Ovis aries: one gene and its partners. The protein of the gene in region 4 interacts with the protein of the main gene of each other region in a pairwise test. Links are inferred from orthologs where the notes say so. Each region holds a gene or a part of one and is shown on either strand. Other genes may lie near its edges. The genes, in order: GLIS3, RCN3, HDX and SUFU.

Region 1 (4,098 bases), on a different chromosome or scaffold from region 4:
GAATTTGAGCCAACCCTGGGAGATAGTGGAGGACAGAGGAGCTTGGCATGCTGCAGTCCCTGGGGTCTCAAAGAGTTGGACACAACTTAGCGACTGAACAGCAACAAATCCCCCAAACAGTAGCTCACCCATAACATATGCTTAATAATTATTTATAGAACAAATAACTCGATGAAGTTCAATCAGTTCCAGATCGCCATTCTCAGCTATTGGCTTAGTTCAGAAACTGTCAACCAAGATTTGAGGGGGACACAATCAGCCACTCCTGGTAACATCCGGGCCACTAGTGGCATCCAACCTGTAAGGTGAGGGAGAATAATAGTTGTCCTCAACTCCTTACCCATGTCCCTGCATGCCCTAATCATGCAGATCTAGAAAAGGCACTGCAAGCTTGGAAGCTAAGCAAGGACCCAGAAAATCAAAAAGAGGAGAATCAGGAAGCAGTGCTAATTTTTACATGAGTTCCATGATGAACTGCCCTGAGAGTTTGTTATTCCTTAAGTACCTGAACATTTTTTTATCAACTATGACTATAATTATAAACACACCTAGTCACTATCAAAGTAATATTCCCAAACTTCTTATTGCCTGACAAGGCTTAAGTTACTTATTTTTTTCTAGACTTTAATTCCTTTGTCATTTATTCAACAATAGCATACAACTCAGGAGTGTTGTGAGGAATAACTGAGATTATGTACTGGAAAGCACTTAACACAATGCCTAACACATGCTAAGTTATTATATAATAAGTACAAGTTTTTGATATTATCACCACTATTTCCTGCAAGTCAGGATTTCAAACACAAATATATGTAAAAGCAAGCTACAGTTCACTAGTCAAGCATGAGCTAAAAAATTGTACTGGGCCTCAGCCCCTGTAAATACAAACACATGAGCTTGACATTAAGAAACTTAGCTTGCCATGTCAGGAACACAGCAACCTAACAATGACAGAGCTATTTTGGTTGCAGCCCCCAGGGAAAATTTTCCTGTACTTACACTGGATATCAGTTAGCTCTGAGAAATAAGACAATTCAAAACAAACCTAGACCAAAATAAATAAGTAAAAAAGAAAAGAAAAAAAGTTACACATATGTTTAGGTTTTTTAGTCTATCCATTTATATCAACTTCTACATACTCAGAAATACATAGACACTAAAACAAACAACTTTTGGGTTACCTGCCTGATATAAAGCATTATTCATCATAACTGGCTAAGTTATGAGCTAACTAGGTAAACAGCCACTTACAAGGCTGCTAGTAATTTTATTTGGGGGTATAAACACGTGGAGGAGGAAATGGAAATCCACTCCAGTATTCTTGCTTGGAAAATCCCATGGACAGAGGAGCCTGGCAGGCTACAGTCCACAGCGTTGGGAAGAGTAAGACATGACTGAGAACGCACATACATAAACACTGAGTATAGGCATTTAAAACGAAATGGTAAAAATACCCAGAGGAAAATATAATCATGCTCTTCTATATAACAAAGCTATGTTTTATATAATATACATGCTCCTTTTTCTAGCCCCGATACACATATCATTAGCAATATAACCTCGTTAACGCAGTATCAGTTTCTAGACAGAGCAAGTCATTCAAATCATTTGTTATTCTCTGACAATTATTCTTAATTCAAAATCTATGGTAAAAAAAAAAAAGCTATGGTAATTCAAAACCTACTGCATTGGAAGCATTCTCTCTGCACTCATCTCTCTCAAATTGGCAAGTTTTTCTAGTTCTCCACAAGCATAGACATACATCTTTTCAATATACTTTTCTAGCTGCTTTCTCTATTGTCACCAGCTATGTTATAAAGATTATAGGTTTTGCTCTAAGAATATCTTTTTATCATTTTTTGTACTTGTTCCTCATTTTATTGGCTATTAAAATTTCTCCACTTTAAATCCTTTTCCTTCCAAACATCACCTTTCTTCTAGCATCCAACTAACATAATGACAGCTGCAGTCAGCCGTCTCCTCCATGGCCTGCAGAATCTAGCTCCTGGTAAGACAAGATGGAGCTCTGTGCATCCAGGGGGCAAGGTCTTGCTAAACATGCTCTTGGTTTCCTCTATGACACTTATGCTACCTCCTTGTTTCCAATCTTTCCATCTCTTCTTCAGCCCTGTTTCACAGTCCACGAAACAGTACATCTACCACTGTGGTGCCCTCGTCCTCACACAAATGTACACATTCACATCCTTTCCTAGGAAGCTACATAGCATTATGAGACTTTGAGCCTGACACTGAATCATGTATTTTTCCATAGGATTTGCTTGCAGAGAAGAGACAAGGGAGAGAAAAACAACAGTGTCCACTTTTAAAAGATCCCAGAAAGACAATCCTACCTTTCCCAGAATTTGGAGGAAAGGGGCTTCCAAACTCCGGCTGCTTTGGCTTTACCGTGTGTGGCCCTGACACGCCTCCAGCCTGGGTGACCTGGAAACGTGGCTTCCCACTGGTGAGCACTTGTCTGCTGGGGCTCAAGGCAGGCAGATGGATGGGGCTCTCATTCATGTTGCTCTGAGGAGCCATCCCTCCTCCTGAGGGCATCTTGAGATGGAGGCTGTTAGCAAGGCTTCCAATGGCAGAGCTTGTTGTGCTGCCACAGGGTGAGGGGCCAGGAGTCCCCGAATGGGCTTGAATGGGAGGGATGTGTTGGCCACTGACCATCCCAGGCCCCTGTGGGGTTCCTGATGTCCGGTGGAGATTCATGCTGCATGACCTTCCATTCATTCTGAAAAAACCTGTAGTCAGGTTGGTCAAATATCCAATGACACTAATGATTCCTTTCAGGCAAAGTCCAATAAGTTATCCATGGTGTGGTTTATTAGCCTGTTTAAAAAAATAAATGCAGGCATTTTTAAAAGTAAAAAGGAAAATAAGTTACAATGAGCTTTCAACCTGTGTAGCATTCATATCAGGAAGCACTCAGCAAAACGGTCTTTTATGTAGAACATGGTTATCAAATACATGGTTCATTGGCAGGCACTCTCCCCTCCTGCATTCATGGTGGACATGGATTATGGATCACTGCATTGTTTTGTTTTGTTTGCCACTGAAATGTTCTCAATACAGTGCTCTTGGCAACTATAACCAATCTACTGGTGCCAGCTCGCAAAATGAAACTTATTTTGCTCCATAGAGGATCTGTCTGTACTAGCTCACATTTGTTATGGTGCATCCTGGGAAACCCAAATGCATCACCATCATGAGCTGTAAGACTACTGCTCAAAGGTTTCCAGTAAACAAACAGAAAGATGATATAAACTCTAAATGAGATTGTGAGGACATTAACAAGCAATTTTTTCATGGTCCCTAGATTAACAAAAGATTTTTTTAAATAGGCATGGTACTTTCATAAAGGTTTCACATATCTAAATATTTACAGCAGCATTAGAGTCTTAGTTCTATGTTGATCCCGAGTTTATGGGGATGAAAATATAATCAACATCACAATACTCTCACCTTTCAGTAAGATCCTAGAAAAGGATAAGGCTGTGTGAGATGCTTTACAGAGAGCATAAGGACGAAACAACCCTTCTCAAGGTGAGTATGCTCACCATGTACCATGCACAGTAAACTGACAGCAGTTCCACGAAGCTTCCATCTGCCGTCCGGTCACCCCCTTTCTCAAATAGCAGAGGGAGAACCAAAAGTAGTGACGTGGCCACAGGACATCATCATCCATCCGTGCGTCACTACTCCCTGGTTACAAATCATTCAGAAAGGCTTTTTCCTCTCTTGATCTATAGTTCCCTAATGTATGTCTTGCCATGACTAAGGACTAAGTGCCACTACTCCAAATAAATGACAGACTCAGTGGCAATTTGAATTCTTTTAAGTAAACGTGACAGTCATGGGAAGAAGCCGTTGGACAAACAAGAAATACAGACTGGGTGCAAAGTAGTAATGGCCAGATATCCTCAACTGGATGAGTCTTCCTTTTTCCTATGGTCCACTCAATGTCTTAGATGAATATTTCCAACTCACCTCCCAAAAGAATGCCCCATAAATCATCAAGCACAGGATATCAACCATGGTAACCTTTTTGTGAGGAGGTTTTCTTTTTTCTTTATCATTTTAGAAAATCAG
Region 2 (4,262 bases), on a different chromosome or scaffold from region 4:
TAGATGTCCCTGGTCAAGAAACTGAGGTCCCCAGTGGATGTCAGAATGAGAAACCAGAGATCAGGGATTGGGGGTGGGCCCTAGTCAAGGGTCAGAAGTCAAAGGTTAGGGATCTGGTTAACGTGGCTTGAGGGTCTCAGGATGAAGGTGTCACAAATGTCCGGGTCACGGTGTGTGAGGGGACCAGGGGTCGGTTCTCGCCGCGTACCCGGCTCATAGTGGCCGTAGGTGGCGTTGCGCAGCTCCTCCCAACCCACACGCCCGTCGCGGTCTGTGTCGTACGTGTTCCAGGCCGCGCTCACTGAGTCCCGTATGTGCCGCTGCTGCGTGTGTGCGATCCACGAGCGGAGCTCGGCCAGCGACACCCAGCCATCCCCGTCTCCGGCGCGGTCCATGCGGTCCACAATGCGCCTGCGAGCCGGGGCGGGCGCACGTCAGTCTCGGACCCCGCCCACCCCGGGTCCCGCCTTCTGCTAGACACTGGAGACACAGCCCCATATAGGACTGAAAATGCTGTCCCTGCCGACAAACCGGGGGGAGGAGTCTGTCAATCCCAGGACCACTCCCACCAGAGGGCTCCGCCCTCTCAATCCAGGCTCCGCTCCCAGAGGCGATAACCTCTATGCCGAGATGCAGCGGGCCTGTGGCTGGCGCTCCGCTCTACAACTCGACGGCTTGGGGGAAGGACCCATGACAATCCACGTCCAACCCTCCACTTTGGCCCCACCTCTCAACCCTGCGCGTGTTCCATCTCTCACTTGAAAGAGCTGGGAGGGGACGGAGGGCAGGGAGTCACACCGCGCCCATCGCCCGCAGATTCCCTGTCCCAATATCCACTCTGAACTCCGACTGCCACTGCAACACGAGGTCCGGACGGCTCCCCGTCCCTGGCCCCGCCCCCTCCCTGGCCGCGCGCGTCTATCTCAGGCCAATATCCCTGCAGTCCCGAGTTATGCTGCGACTCTCCCCTTGCGCCTGGTTTTTCCTAGCCGTTATCAGGCTTTGCCCTATGACTGTCACCCCCAACACGGCGGGCTCGGCCTTCACCCACTCCTCTCCGAGCTCCAGCCTGATCCTGCACACCTCCATGTCTCAGGTCAAGCCCCTTTAGGCCACCACCTCATGCCCCTTCTCTCAGGCCACGCCTGTCGGTTCCCAGGTTCCATCCCTGGTAACGTCCCGTCATTGGTCTGTGTCCTCGCCCGACCGCTAACGGAGCCCTTCTTCCGGTCTCCATCCCAAAGCCCCTCGACCCAGTTCCCAGAATCCAATTTGAGATGGCCCTGCCTAGATCGCTGACCCGTCCCTCCAGCGTTATGTTGTCTCTGCTCTGCTCCGGCTACCCTGAGGTTCGAGCTGTGGTTAAGAGTTTGGACTCTAGAGCCAAACATTAAGGTTCAAATCCTGCTGCCTCTTCTTGCTGGCCGTGTGACGGTCGGCAAGTCATATAACCTCTCTGTGCCTTAGTTTCCCCCTCTGTAAAATGGGAATAAGTAATAGAACATACCTCACACTGTGGATGTTGGGATTAAATGAGTTAAGCCTGGTAAGCCCTTTGCATGGTGCTGGGCATTGTAGTAAGCGCGACCACAAATGCGTTAGCCTACTTCATCCAACTCCATCCATGCACAACATTCTAGTCAGCATAGCTGACCACCACGGACATCTCCACCCTGAGTTGGGATACCCTGGTCTCTTATCTCCCACCTGGAAGACTGCAGTCCCTTCCTCAACGTGCTCTCTACTTCTTGCTCCCTATAGTCTGTTCCCTGCATGGCAACCAGAGGGATCCTGTTAAAACTGAAGTCGGCTCACCTCCTCCTTCAGAGCCATTGCATAGCTCTCATCTCACTGGGTCCCCTGCACAACCTGATCCCTCTGTTCTCTCTGCTACTACCTCCTACTTTCTCCCTCTGCTCACTGGGTTCCAGTCACATAGACCTCTCCCTTTTTCAAATACACGAGGCACATAATTCCCCCTCCTGCCTCAGGGCCTTTGCACTTACAGTTCCTTCTTCCTGGAATGCTATTCCCCCATATACCCAAGTGGCTCAAATATCACCTTCTCACTAAGGGCTCCCCTAACCTCCTCTTGAAAATTACAATCCTCCTTCCCCTCCATCTCTCCTACCCCAGACGAGCTTGACTTTCCTCTGGGGTGAGTTGGTCGAATTCCTTGGCCACTTCTCGTCCCAGAAAAGCCTCATGATCATATTGGAAGTTCCCGTGAGCGTCATCATGAGGGGCTTCGCTCAGGGGGGCCGCGTGGTGCACCCTCCCCTGGCCATGAGGGCCGGCGTCAGGAGACGGCTTCCCCTGGGCTCCACGCCTGAGCAGCAACAGCAGCAGCAGAAGTGAGGGTGGCCACATCATCAGTCCCTGAGGAGTGGCGGAGGCTAGGAGTCAGAGTCACAGAGAAAAGGACAGAGAGGGGATGGGAGGGATGGGGACGCGGGCAGGGGGGAGCCCAGGACAGGACAGAGAGCTGGTAGCTGGTTGCAAAGTTTGGGCCTCAAGAAGGGACAGGAAGGGGGGAAGGAAGGCGGGATTCTCAGAGGTTAACCAGCTGTAGGGACCGAATCCTCCGAGGAAGTCCCAGAGAAGTACCCCAAGAGGGTAGGATTCAAGCGGGAGACGTGGCGCACTTCCCACGCGTAGTTCAGGGCAGGGTAGTGTCCAGAGAGAAATCTTGCAGGTTCCCGGGCATCGCTTTCAGCCTGGTCCCCAATCCTCCACCCAAGCGGACCCAAACCGTCCTCCCTGGACAAGCCACCCGCCCCCGCCTCCCTTTACCGGGTCAGATAGCTTCACTTCGCTCTCCACGTTCCACCCTGCGTTCTCCAAAAAGATGCCCAATTTGGCGGCTCTCCAGTCAGGCCCCGCCTCCTGAAGCGCAGAGGCCCCGCCCCCAGCCAATGAGCGCTCTGGAGGGCCTCATGGGGCGGGGCCAAAGAAGCGGGGCGGGCCAAAGGCGCCCCTCGCCACGTCCACAAAGGAAAGCGCGGCCCCGCGAGGCTCGGCCCCGCCCCTTCCCAGTGAAGGCGAAGTGGGCAAATCCGGAGTGACACGGCCGGGGGAACTACAACTCCCGGCAGGCGTCGGGGCGCCCTGCCCGACCACCTCCAGTTGCTCTAGCTTCAAAGCCTCACGGGAGATGTATTTTTATCTCTTTCCCTTTGTCCGCAGGTTTTAGGAAAGGGAACCTAGGAGCCAGAGGAGGCTTTCCTTTCCCTCAAGGAGGGAACATCTCTTCCGCTACACCAAGAAGTCAGATCAGACTCCAGCCAAGAATTCCTCAAAATGCCTGGCACAAACATCCAGTAAATATTTGTGAAATTTATTCATTAAAAATACATGACTTGGTATATAAAGTTGGCAAATTCCACCATGGCAACAAGTTAGCCTCAGGAGAGATTTGAAGCCCAAGGCTTACACCATTTATCCCCCCTCACAATTCCCTAAAAAAGTTGAAACGATGAGAACACAACGATTCGGGCCTAAACCCATGTTATATGTGGAGCTGGAAAAGAACCATATATATCAGGAGGGGGAACTGAGGCAGATCACAGGAGGAGAAATCCAGAGGGAGGACATTGGGCTCCTTCCGGAGGCTCAAAAATACCAGGATTCCCGGAGGTCTCACAGCATGAAAAGGACCTGAGGACATTAGCTGGTAACAGCCAGGATGGGGGATGATCGGCAGTTGCTGGGAACGCATTTTTATCCTAAGATTCACCATCCTTGGACAGGCCGGGAGTGGGCAGGAGGGCCCCTACATCCTCCCCACGGAAAGAGATCCAAGAAGCTGAGAAAAGAGGGACAGGGGAGATGATTAGAATCTTTGAAATCCTTCAGGTCTCTGACTGCCCCTCCCCACGTATGTGTATGTGTGTGTGTGGTGTGTGTTGTTTGTGTGTGTCTGTGTCTTTTTCAGTCTCTGTCCTACGCTATGGATTTCTATCCCCCTGAGTCTCTTTCTCCCCTCCAGTTTTCTTTCTCTCCATCTCTCTCTGGGTCTCTGTCCCCCTCTGTCCCTGCAGGAATGAGTCTCCCGATTTTGGAGGGGGTCTCTACCCCTCTCTCTGAGGCACCTCCCTCTTCCTGTCCCACACCTGGCAGCCCCTTCCTCATCCTTCTCCACAGGAGAGCTCCGCCCGCAGCCACTGTCAGGAGCAGGAAAAAGCCGATGACGATTCCCACCACTGGCATCGAGGTTCTGGCTGGTGATTCTGCAGTCAGACAATGTTGTGAGATATTTAAGG
Region 3 (3,563 bases), on a different chromosome or scaffold from region 4:
TCTCAAACAATGCTTTTAAATTTTACAAACTTTTTTTTGTACCATCTGTACCATTTTGCACCACAGCCATTATATCTCGTTCATCCTTCACAGAATACATTGCTTCAACAATATATTTTTCCAACTGAAGAATTTTGGGGCAGCACAATACAACTATCTTGAAATGCATACTTGTTGGGTAGCCAAAAGGCTGTATCATATATCCCTCCCCCACCCCAATCACAAACTGTCTGAGGCATTTTTCTCTGATAAAGAAGACACACTGAATGAGGTATCATCAGGCTCCGGCGAGGCATGATTGAAATCCATCTCTTCTAATTCAGGAGGTAAATCTGACAGCAATGCCTGAGTCAGAAAAATCAATTGTTTTGAATTAGTATTTGAACATATTTTTCCAGCTTTATAGTTGTGGTCCTTTCACATTGATTTATTCTTACAGATTTAAAGAAAGGAGCATTTCTCTCTCAGAACCTTGTACAGCATCTTTTCTAAGAGAAAAACTCTTCATATACTCTTAAGGAAGTAATAAAATACTAGATCTTGAGAGTGTGGGTTATGTAGAGTGTAACCTACAAAGAGGGAATGATGAGAGAAATGAGCAACTACTCTGAACCAAATGCTCTGAAGTGTCTGAGATAAGTGGTTTTCATATCAGTTTTGATTGTTCAGTGATCATTGCTAAAGGACTTTAAAATTGTATGTGAGGTGAGGTGAAGTCACTCAGTCGTGTCCGACTCTTTGTGACCCTGTGGACTGTAACCTACTAGGTTTCTCTGTCCATGGGATTCTCCAGGCAAGAATACTGGAGTGGATTGCCATTTCCTTCTCCAGGGGATCTTCCCGACCCAGGGATCAAACCCGGGTCTCCCACACTGGAGGCAGACACTTTAACCTCTGAGCCACCAGGGAAGCTCAAAATTGTATGTAACTTATTAAAATACCCCTGCCCAGTTATACTGTCTGTCACACTAAAACACAGTTCACAAGACTATTTTGTACTTCAGTGGGAGAAGTAATTAAGCAATTAGGGGAAAAGTTCAGCTATTCTATTTTAGATAAAATTTTAGCATTTCAAAAGTCCAAGTGATTTTTTTTTCTTTCCTTAGGCTATGGTCATATCTACAGATGGCCAAGCATTCATAAAGGCTCTGCTGAACCAGTGAATTTGGCTGTGTAATGATGTTTTTAGAGGACTGCTCATCTCTCTTCTGGAGTAATTAGGATAAGGCAAGAGCCATGAACTAAGTTTTGCCATGGTGTAATTGTTCCATCTGGAGTTGCAGAATATGCATTCATACTAGAAAAATAATTAATCAAGTTTTATCTGGCTGGTAGTGTTGATGCCCATTTGACCATCAGAAATGGCAAACTAAATGAATGGTTTGCTGCTCCCAATACTAAAAATAATGTAACATATCTCGACAATTTTTAGACAACATTAGTTGTAGTGTTAGCTTTGGGTGCAATAGTAAAAAAAAAAAGATCAAGTGCAGGTTTGCCTCTACCCAAATAATGAACAGAAAGACAGGGCATGTTAGAGAACACATGAAATCCACTGCTGAAATAAGACAGTACTCTCCTATTCTCTTTATTAAAAGAAGTGACAGTTGTAAATCCTATAGTTTTTGTTGTTGTTGTTGTTGTTTTAGAGGAAAGATTAGAACTTTCTGTCAGGCTGCAAAAGGAAAGGCTAACTCCTGTCTGTACAAAAATTTATTTATTTTTTGCTATTAAATTGTTCATGAACTTCTTGGTGAAACTCAGAGTACTGTTTACAAAGCAGTCACCTAAAGGTACTACATGCTTCCTAAGGTTTCTAGGTTGCAGTAATAGGGCACAGAACCATTTTCTTCTAGGTCAGTTGTTTACCACTAACCCAGTATAGTACAACAAAGCCTTTGCTGACAGTGGTTGATCATAGTTTACGAGAAAGACATCACTGGATTTATTTCACTTTGCAAGTGCAAAGAAGCCATACTAAAGAGGGCAAAGTGTTCCAATGAACAAAGCTTAGCATACTGGAGAGTCATGTAGGTGAGTAGACTTAACAACATTTAAATTCTAGCGAGGAGACCTTAAAATCAAAGAAGCACTACTATGTATTTCTTTGTCATTGCATTTAATGTAGTTGCCTGACTAAAATCAGTGCAGTATGAAATAGGAAAACTTTAATATCTGAGGCAGAACAAGGCACTGCTAATGCATGAGGTCCATTTAAAAATATTCCTTTTTGATATCTTTTTGTATTGCAACACTGAACAAATCTTCAGATTTTGTCAGTTGCTAGAACTGTCTTTTTCATAGACTAAAGTGAACACAATGAACTTGCTTCACTCCAGGTTCTCTACCAGTCAGAGTGTAACCTACTGCCATTCTTCCCAAGAGATTATTGCATTTCTCAATAGAATAGAATCACATAGTGAATTATCAAGGGAAGAAAGATCATAACTAATGACTTAGTACAGTGCTGACAACATTATTTTTATTTAAAAATGGCTATTGGTTTGGATAATCTAATATTCAGTCAGACATTATCGTATATTTTCAAACCCTGGACTGATTCATGGTGGCAAAATATTCTGTGGTTCACTCATCTTACTCAATTTACCCAAATTAAGATTAACAGAAAAACAGGATTTTAAAATGAGAAACCAATGACACAATGATTCTCTTTTATTAGGCAGAATAAAAATCAAGTCCTTCCCGAAATAAACCTTTAAGCATTTCATGGAGTAAAGATCAGTAATTTAAGAGATGACTTGGGTAACTTTTGTGTTGGTATCTTCTATATTTTTAGACTGTATTTGGAGATCCATTATACCCAATCTCAAGTACAAAAATCAGTATTTTGTACTTGGATGCTGATTATATAGGCTATGATTTTCAGTACAATTTTTGTATAACTATCTCTTTTCCCCCCCAGCCAATGTTTTGTCCATATCTTAGTTCATCAGCCTTTTTCAGAGGAAAAGTAGAAGAAAAGGGCAAAAGTAAAATGCACAATAGGTACTTTTCTTATTTTTTTAGTGGTTTTGGGGGAAGGATAAAACCAGGTTAGAATAAGAAAATAAAATGCAGCTTGTGTGCTATTCCTAGATATAAAAAGTCATAGACAACTGCGAATAAACTGACCACATAACTCTGAAATACAAACCATGCGTGACTTTTGGGACTAAGACCACACTCCAAATTACTCCCATATTGAACCTAATTCTATTTTTCCTGTTTTAAATATTAATGTAATTAAAAATTACAGTTCTTTGGGGACCAGGTTCAAGACTATCATCTTATTCATTTAAAATCTGTATTTTAGGTTCCTAAAAAACAAATACATTTTCAATATGCCATGGAATATGCTTAGCTCACGTAATAAACCAAAATGCTTAAATAAAACAGACAAATATGACTGCTAACTACCATCTTGGGATGTCTGTGTGTGTACAGCATGGGTGGAGCACAATTCATGAAACTGGACACATAATTTACATGCTAGATTAAGCCTTATGAGTAAACTATAGCTTAAATTTTGTGGTTCACTACTTTGATGAAATACGTAAAGACGT
Region 4 (4,170 bases):
TGTCCATTAAGTCAGTGATGCCTCCAAACATCTCATCCTTTGTCGTCCCCTTCTCCTCCCACCTTCAATCTTTCCCAGCATCAGGGTCTTTCCCAATGAGTCAGTTCTTCCCATCAGGTGGCCAAAGTACTGGAAATAATCAACAAAATATTTTTGGTTGATTTTCTCATGTTTTTCCTGGAAAGGTGTAAACCTGGCAACATACTAGTATTGGTCTGAAGACTGACATTTGGAACTACTGGTACAGATGATCTTTTGGTCATTAAAACATCCTTCATCTAATAGCTTCATAACTGTTGTCTCTCTCTGTCTCTCTTTAGTCGCTAAGTCATGTCTGACTCTTTGTGATCCCATGGATTTGTAGCCTGCTAGGATCCTCTGTCCATGGGGTTCTCCAGGCAAGAATACTCGAGTGGGTTGCCATTTTCTTCGCCATAGGATCTTCCCGACCCAGGGATCGAACCCAGGTCTCCTGCACTGCAGGCAGATTTTTACCGACTGAGCTGCGAGGGAAGCCCAGGAACTGCTCTAGTATATCTTTAATTTTCATGGGGAGCTAGAAATCCTAGGGACGGGGGAACCTGGTGGGCTGCCGTCTATGGGGTCGCACAGAGTCGGACACGACTGAAGCAACTTAGCAGCAGTGGCAGCAGCAGAAATGACACTGATGAATGAGAAAATGGAATTGAGAGATTATGTGTTACTGCTTTCTAAGGAGCCCAGTGCATTTTTCTCTAATAAATTATTTCCTCTTTTCCTTCATGTTGTGGGGATCTTTAGTTAATAGCCAGTAGTCAGGACTTTCCGCCAGTAGTCAGGACTTTCCGCCAGTAGTCAGGATTCTCTTCTATCCTTTTCTCTTGAAATTTCAAGATTATTGAGTGGAAGACATTACTATAAGTAAAGTTATTGCAGGCAGGAAAATAATTTCCAACCCGGTGCCTTAGAAACTAAAAAATCCCGTTTTTAATGCTACATGGACGAAGGAAGCAATCCATTGTAGCAATCCATTGTTACATTTATGTTTAAATCCTTCTGAAATAAATAAATTAAATAAATCCTTCTGAGCATCGTATTAGCATAACAGTGACATGCTTTTTGTCGGCGCACTTCCCAAAGCTTTCTTGGGTCCCTAGCACCTCAGAGGATGTCCCAATATCTCTATTTAATCCTGGGCTCCTCCTAACGCTAGGGGGAAGCGAAGAGCCTTGGAACACCCCCACAACTCTGGGAGAGAGAGGGAGGCGGGACCTATTGTCAAGTCACGCCTTCCCTACCTGTGACTGGCACAGACATTGGCCAATGGAACCGGAATAGGGCGCGCCGGCACCCCGCCCCCTGAGCGCCCCGCGGCCCCCGAGGCACCCTCTGGCCGTCTCCACCGCGGCGACGGCCTGGGCGGACAGTGCGCCTTGCGCAGGCGCGGAGCCTAGACCTCGCTGCAGCCCCCATCGCCTCCGGGAGTCGCACCCAAGGAGTTCGCCTGCTGGCGCGTCAGTGCTCTCCCCCTCGTCTGCCCTCCCCGGTCCCCCCAGCACCCTACGCGCCCCGATGGCGGAGTTGCGGCCTAGCGGCGCCCCCGGCCCCACCGCGCCCCCGGCCCCTGGCCCTACTGCCCCTCCGGCCTTCGCGTCGCTCTTCCCCCCAGGACTGCACGCCATCTACGGAGAGTGCCGCCGCCTGTACCCAGACCAGCCGAACCCGCTCCAGGTTACCGCTATCGTCAAGTACTGGTACGTCTTGGGCCGCGCGGAGACCGACAGGGGCGGGCTGAGAAGGGTTAAAGCGCCAGGAGCGAAGTAATTTGCCAGGGAATTGGAGGGGAAAGGAGAGTGGTTAAAGCACTTGGAAGAGGGCTTCCTGCTGTGAGGGAAGAAGTTAAGGCTCAAGTTAGGAATGGGGACAAAGGGGTTAACGAAGCCTGCGGGTAGCGAAGGGTTAGCAAGGGAGGGGAGGATGAAGGGTTAACTGGCATTAGAAGAATGGAGTGAATTGGGGGTGTTGGTAGAAGCTGAGGGGGCGACGGTCGGAGAGAGGGAACTGTAAACGTGGTGAAAGGAGGGGGCGCCTGGAGGGGGTCTAAGTGGGCGCGTGGAAGCCGAAGGGGGGCGGCTGAAGTGAGATGGGGGAGGCGAGGCGGGGCCTGAGGAGCATCTGAGAAGGCTTTGGAGCCGCGCGGCCGGAGGAGCTCCGAGCTCGGAGGGCACGGGACTGCACAGGGTAGGGGCGGGTGTGGGTCTGTGGGTTAGGATGTGAGCGTTGAGCTTGTGAGGGGATGAGGGGGAGGTCTCATTTTGATACCTTCCGGATGAGCTCAGACATTCATATCAGTGCAGTGCTTTTGCGTTTGAAGTTTGATGGAGCAGCTTCTCCCGATCAACTTTCTGCTTACTCTGCACAGTTCTCTTACTCCATGCAGAGCTTCCTCTGGCTCCGCGGCTGCTTTGGTCTAGGTCACTGGCTAGAACAGGGGCAGGCTGGGTCAGGGAGATCCATGGTTTGGCTCAGGATTGAAGGAGGCTGCTGTTAACGACGAAGATCCGGAACTTGGACACGGGAGGATCCTTCAGTGAGATATTAAGAGTAACTTTGTGGGCTGGAGCGCCCAGATGTAGGCAACAGTTCCTCAGGGGAGCTGAGAGTAATCCCTAAGTAACTCTGTTAAGATCAGACCTATGTACACATGGACTGCCCCTGGGGAAGGAATGGTCTTTTCTCGTTTCCCATTCTTTTTGTAACCTGTTTCTTCGTGCCACCTCTGTTATGGGGACTCTTCTTCATGGTCTTGCTGAACTAAAAGTTGACTAAGAAACTAGTTGAATCTGTACAAAACCACTTTCATGCAGGCACTGTATTAGATGAACTCCTTCATTGGCTCCTAAAAGACTGTTCAAGGCAGGCACTTGGGGTGTGACCAAAGGGGAGGTACCCCCGAAGGGGGAATGAGTAGAGTGGATGTCTTTACTGGTTACCTTCCTTTAGGGCTGAGTCTTTTCCCTCCCTGGCAACCACTTACTTCTTCTGGAGATTGCAGGAGCTGGGCTGCCTAGGGCGGAGGCCAGCTCCCTATGTCTGTGGGAGGCTGTGGAGAGGCTGACAGTGTGAAGGGCCTGGGGAGCAACCACCTGCTCCGTGGGGAGAGCGGCAGGAGCAGCCTGCCTCTGTCTGGTAGCCAGAAGGAGGTGTGGCCTGCAGCACAGTTTTCTCTGGCAGGCACGGTGTTCTTTGGTTGAGAGGAGTTTTTGAAGAGGTCTTCTGAGTAAAAAGCAGCTCTTGATAACTTAATCACTCATTTTAAACTTTTTATTTATTTTCATCTACAAATTATGGCAATTTTATTTCATTTTTATCATTTTTTTTACCATTTACTTCTTTTTCTTGACTTATTGCTATCTGGTATAATTTCCTTTCAGTACATAAACTTTTTATTTTAAATTGGTATATAGCCGATTAACAATGTTTGTGATAGTGTCAGGTGAATGGTGAAGGGACTCAGCCTTACATACACATATAGCCATTCTCCTCCGAATTCCTCTCCTCTCCAGACTGCCACATAACATTGAGCAGAGTTCCATGTGCTATACAGTAGGTCTTTGTTGGTTTGTACCACTATATTTAAATATGTACAGTGATGGACTCTATTGGCATACTTCGTGAGAAAAAGGGGACCTGCCTCTGGCATGCTGTTTGTTCAGGCCTTGTTTGAGTATAAGGAGAAATCCCCTCTCAGACTTGGGCCACTGTTATTATGTCACCCAAGTGGACATGAAGGATAGAGTTGTAAAAGGTGTTGAACACGGGCTCCCCTGGCGGTCCAGGGGTTAAGACTCTGTGCTTCCACTGCAAGGGGTATGGGTTCGATTCCTGGTTGGGGGAGTTCCACAAACCATGAGGTGTGGCAAAAAAGAAAAAGATATTGAACACATGCAAAGGACTAAGATTAGTTTGGGAATCTGCTTTTTCCTCCATCTCCCTGTGAACCTTTTTTCCCATGTTGCTGCAAGTTTGTTAACCAAGTCAGGACTTATCTTAAAAGATGGGCCAGCATCTAATGATGAATAAAAACGATTGTATAGCACTTTGTGAAATTAGAAATGCTGCCTGGATACAGAAATAAATGAGAAGAAACAGCCCAGGGACTGGTTCTTTCTAAAATTCAGAAGGGGTTGC

The links.
Region 1: the proteins of SUFU (region 4) and GLIS3 interact in binary tests that used the Homo sapiens proteins (3 or more experiments, as listed by UniProt). The link is inferred for Ovis aries from reciprocal best matches to the Homo sapiens genes SUFU and GLIS3.
Region 2: the proteins of SUFU (region 4) and RCN3 interact in binary tests that used the Homo sapiens proteins (3 or more experiments, as listed by UniProt). The two-hybrid records come from large-scale screens. The link is inferred for Ovis aries from reciprocal best matches to the Homo sapiens genes SUFU and RCN3.
Region 3: the proteins of SUFU (region 4) and HDX interact in binary tests that used the Homo sapiens proteins (3 or more experiments, as listed by UniProt). The link is inferred for Ovis aries from reciprocal best matches to the Homo sapiens genes SUFU and HDX.

Annotation. Positions count from the first base shown.
Region 1 is NC_056055.1:72,610,497-72,614,594, forward strand, and holds the start of GLIS3 (zinc finger protein GLIS3), read right to left. Parts: upstream 2,836-4,098; 5' UTR 2,740-2,835; coding exon 2,352-2,739; intron 1-2,351. UniProt on the Homo sapiens protein: Acts both as a repressor and an activator of transcription. Binds to the consensus sequence 5'-GACCACCCAC-3'.
Region 2 is NC_056067.1:55,701,041-55,705,302, reverse strand, and holds the start of RCN3 (reticulocalbin-3), read right to left. Parts: upstream 2,860-4,262; 5' UTR 2,794-2,859; intron 2,380-2,793; 5' UTR 2,374-2,379; coding exon 2,132-2,373; intron 412-2,131; coding exon 209-411; intron 1-208. Other genes in the region: FCGRT (IgG receptor FcRn large subunit p51 precursor), read right to left, coding at 3,726-3,805, 4,113-4,229. UniProt on the Homo sapiens protein: Probable molecular chaperone assisting protein biosynthesis and transport in the endoplasmic reticulum.
Region 3 is NC_056080.1:75,382,400-75,385,962, forward strand, and holds part of HDX (highly divergent homeobox), read right to left. Parts: intron 346-3,563; coding exon 220-345; 3' UTR 1-219.
Region 4 is NC_056075.1:22,878,979-22,883,148, forward strand, and holds the start of SUFU (suppressor of fused homolog), read left to right. Parts: upstream 1-1,363; 5' UTR 1,364-1,551; coding exon 1,552-1,733; intron 1,734-4,170. UniProt on the Homo sapiens protein: Negative regulator in the hedgehog/smoothened signaling pathway. Down-regulates GLI1-mediated transactivation of target genes. Down-regulates GLI2-mediated transactivation of target genes. Part of a corepressor complex that acts on DNA-bound GLI1.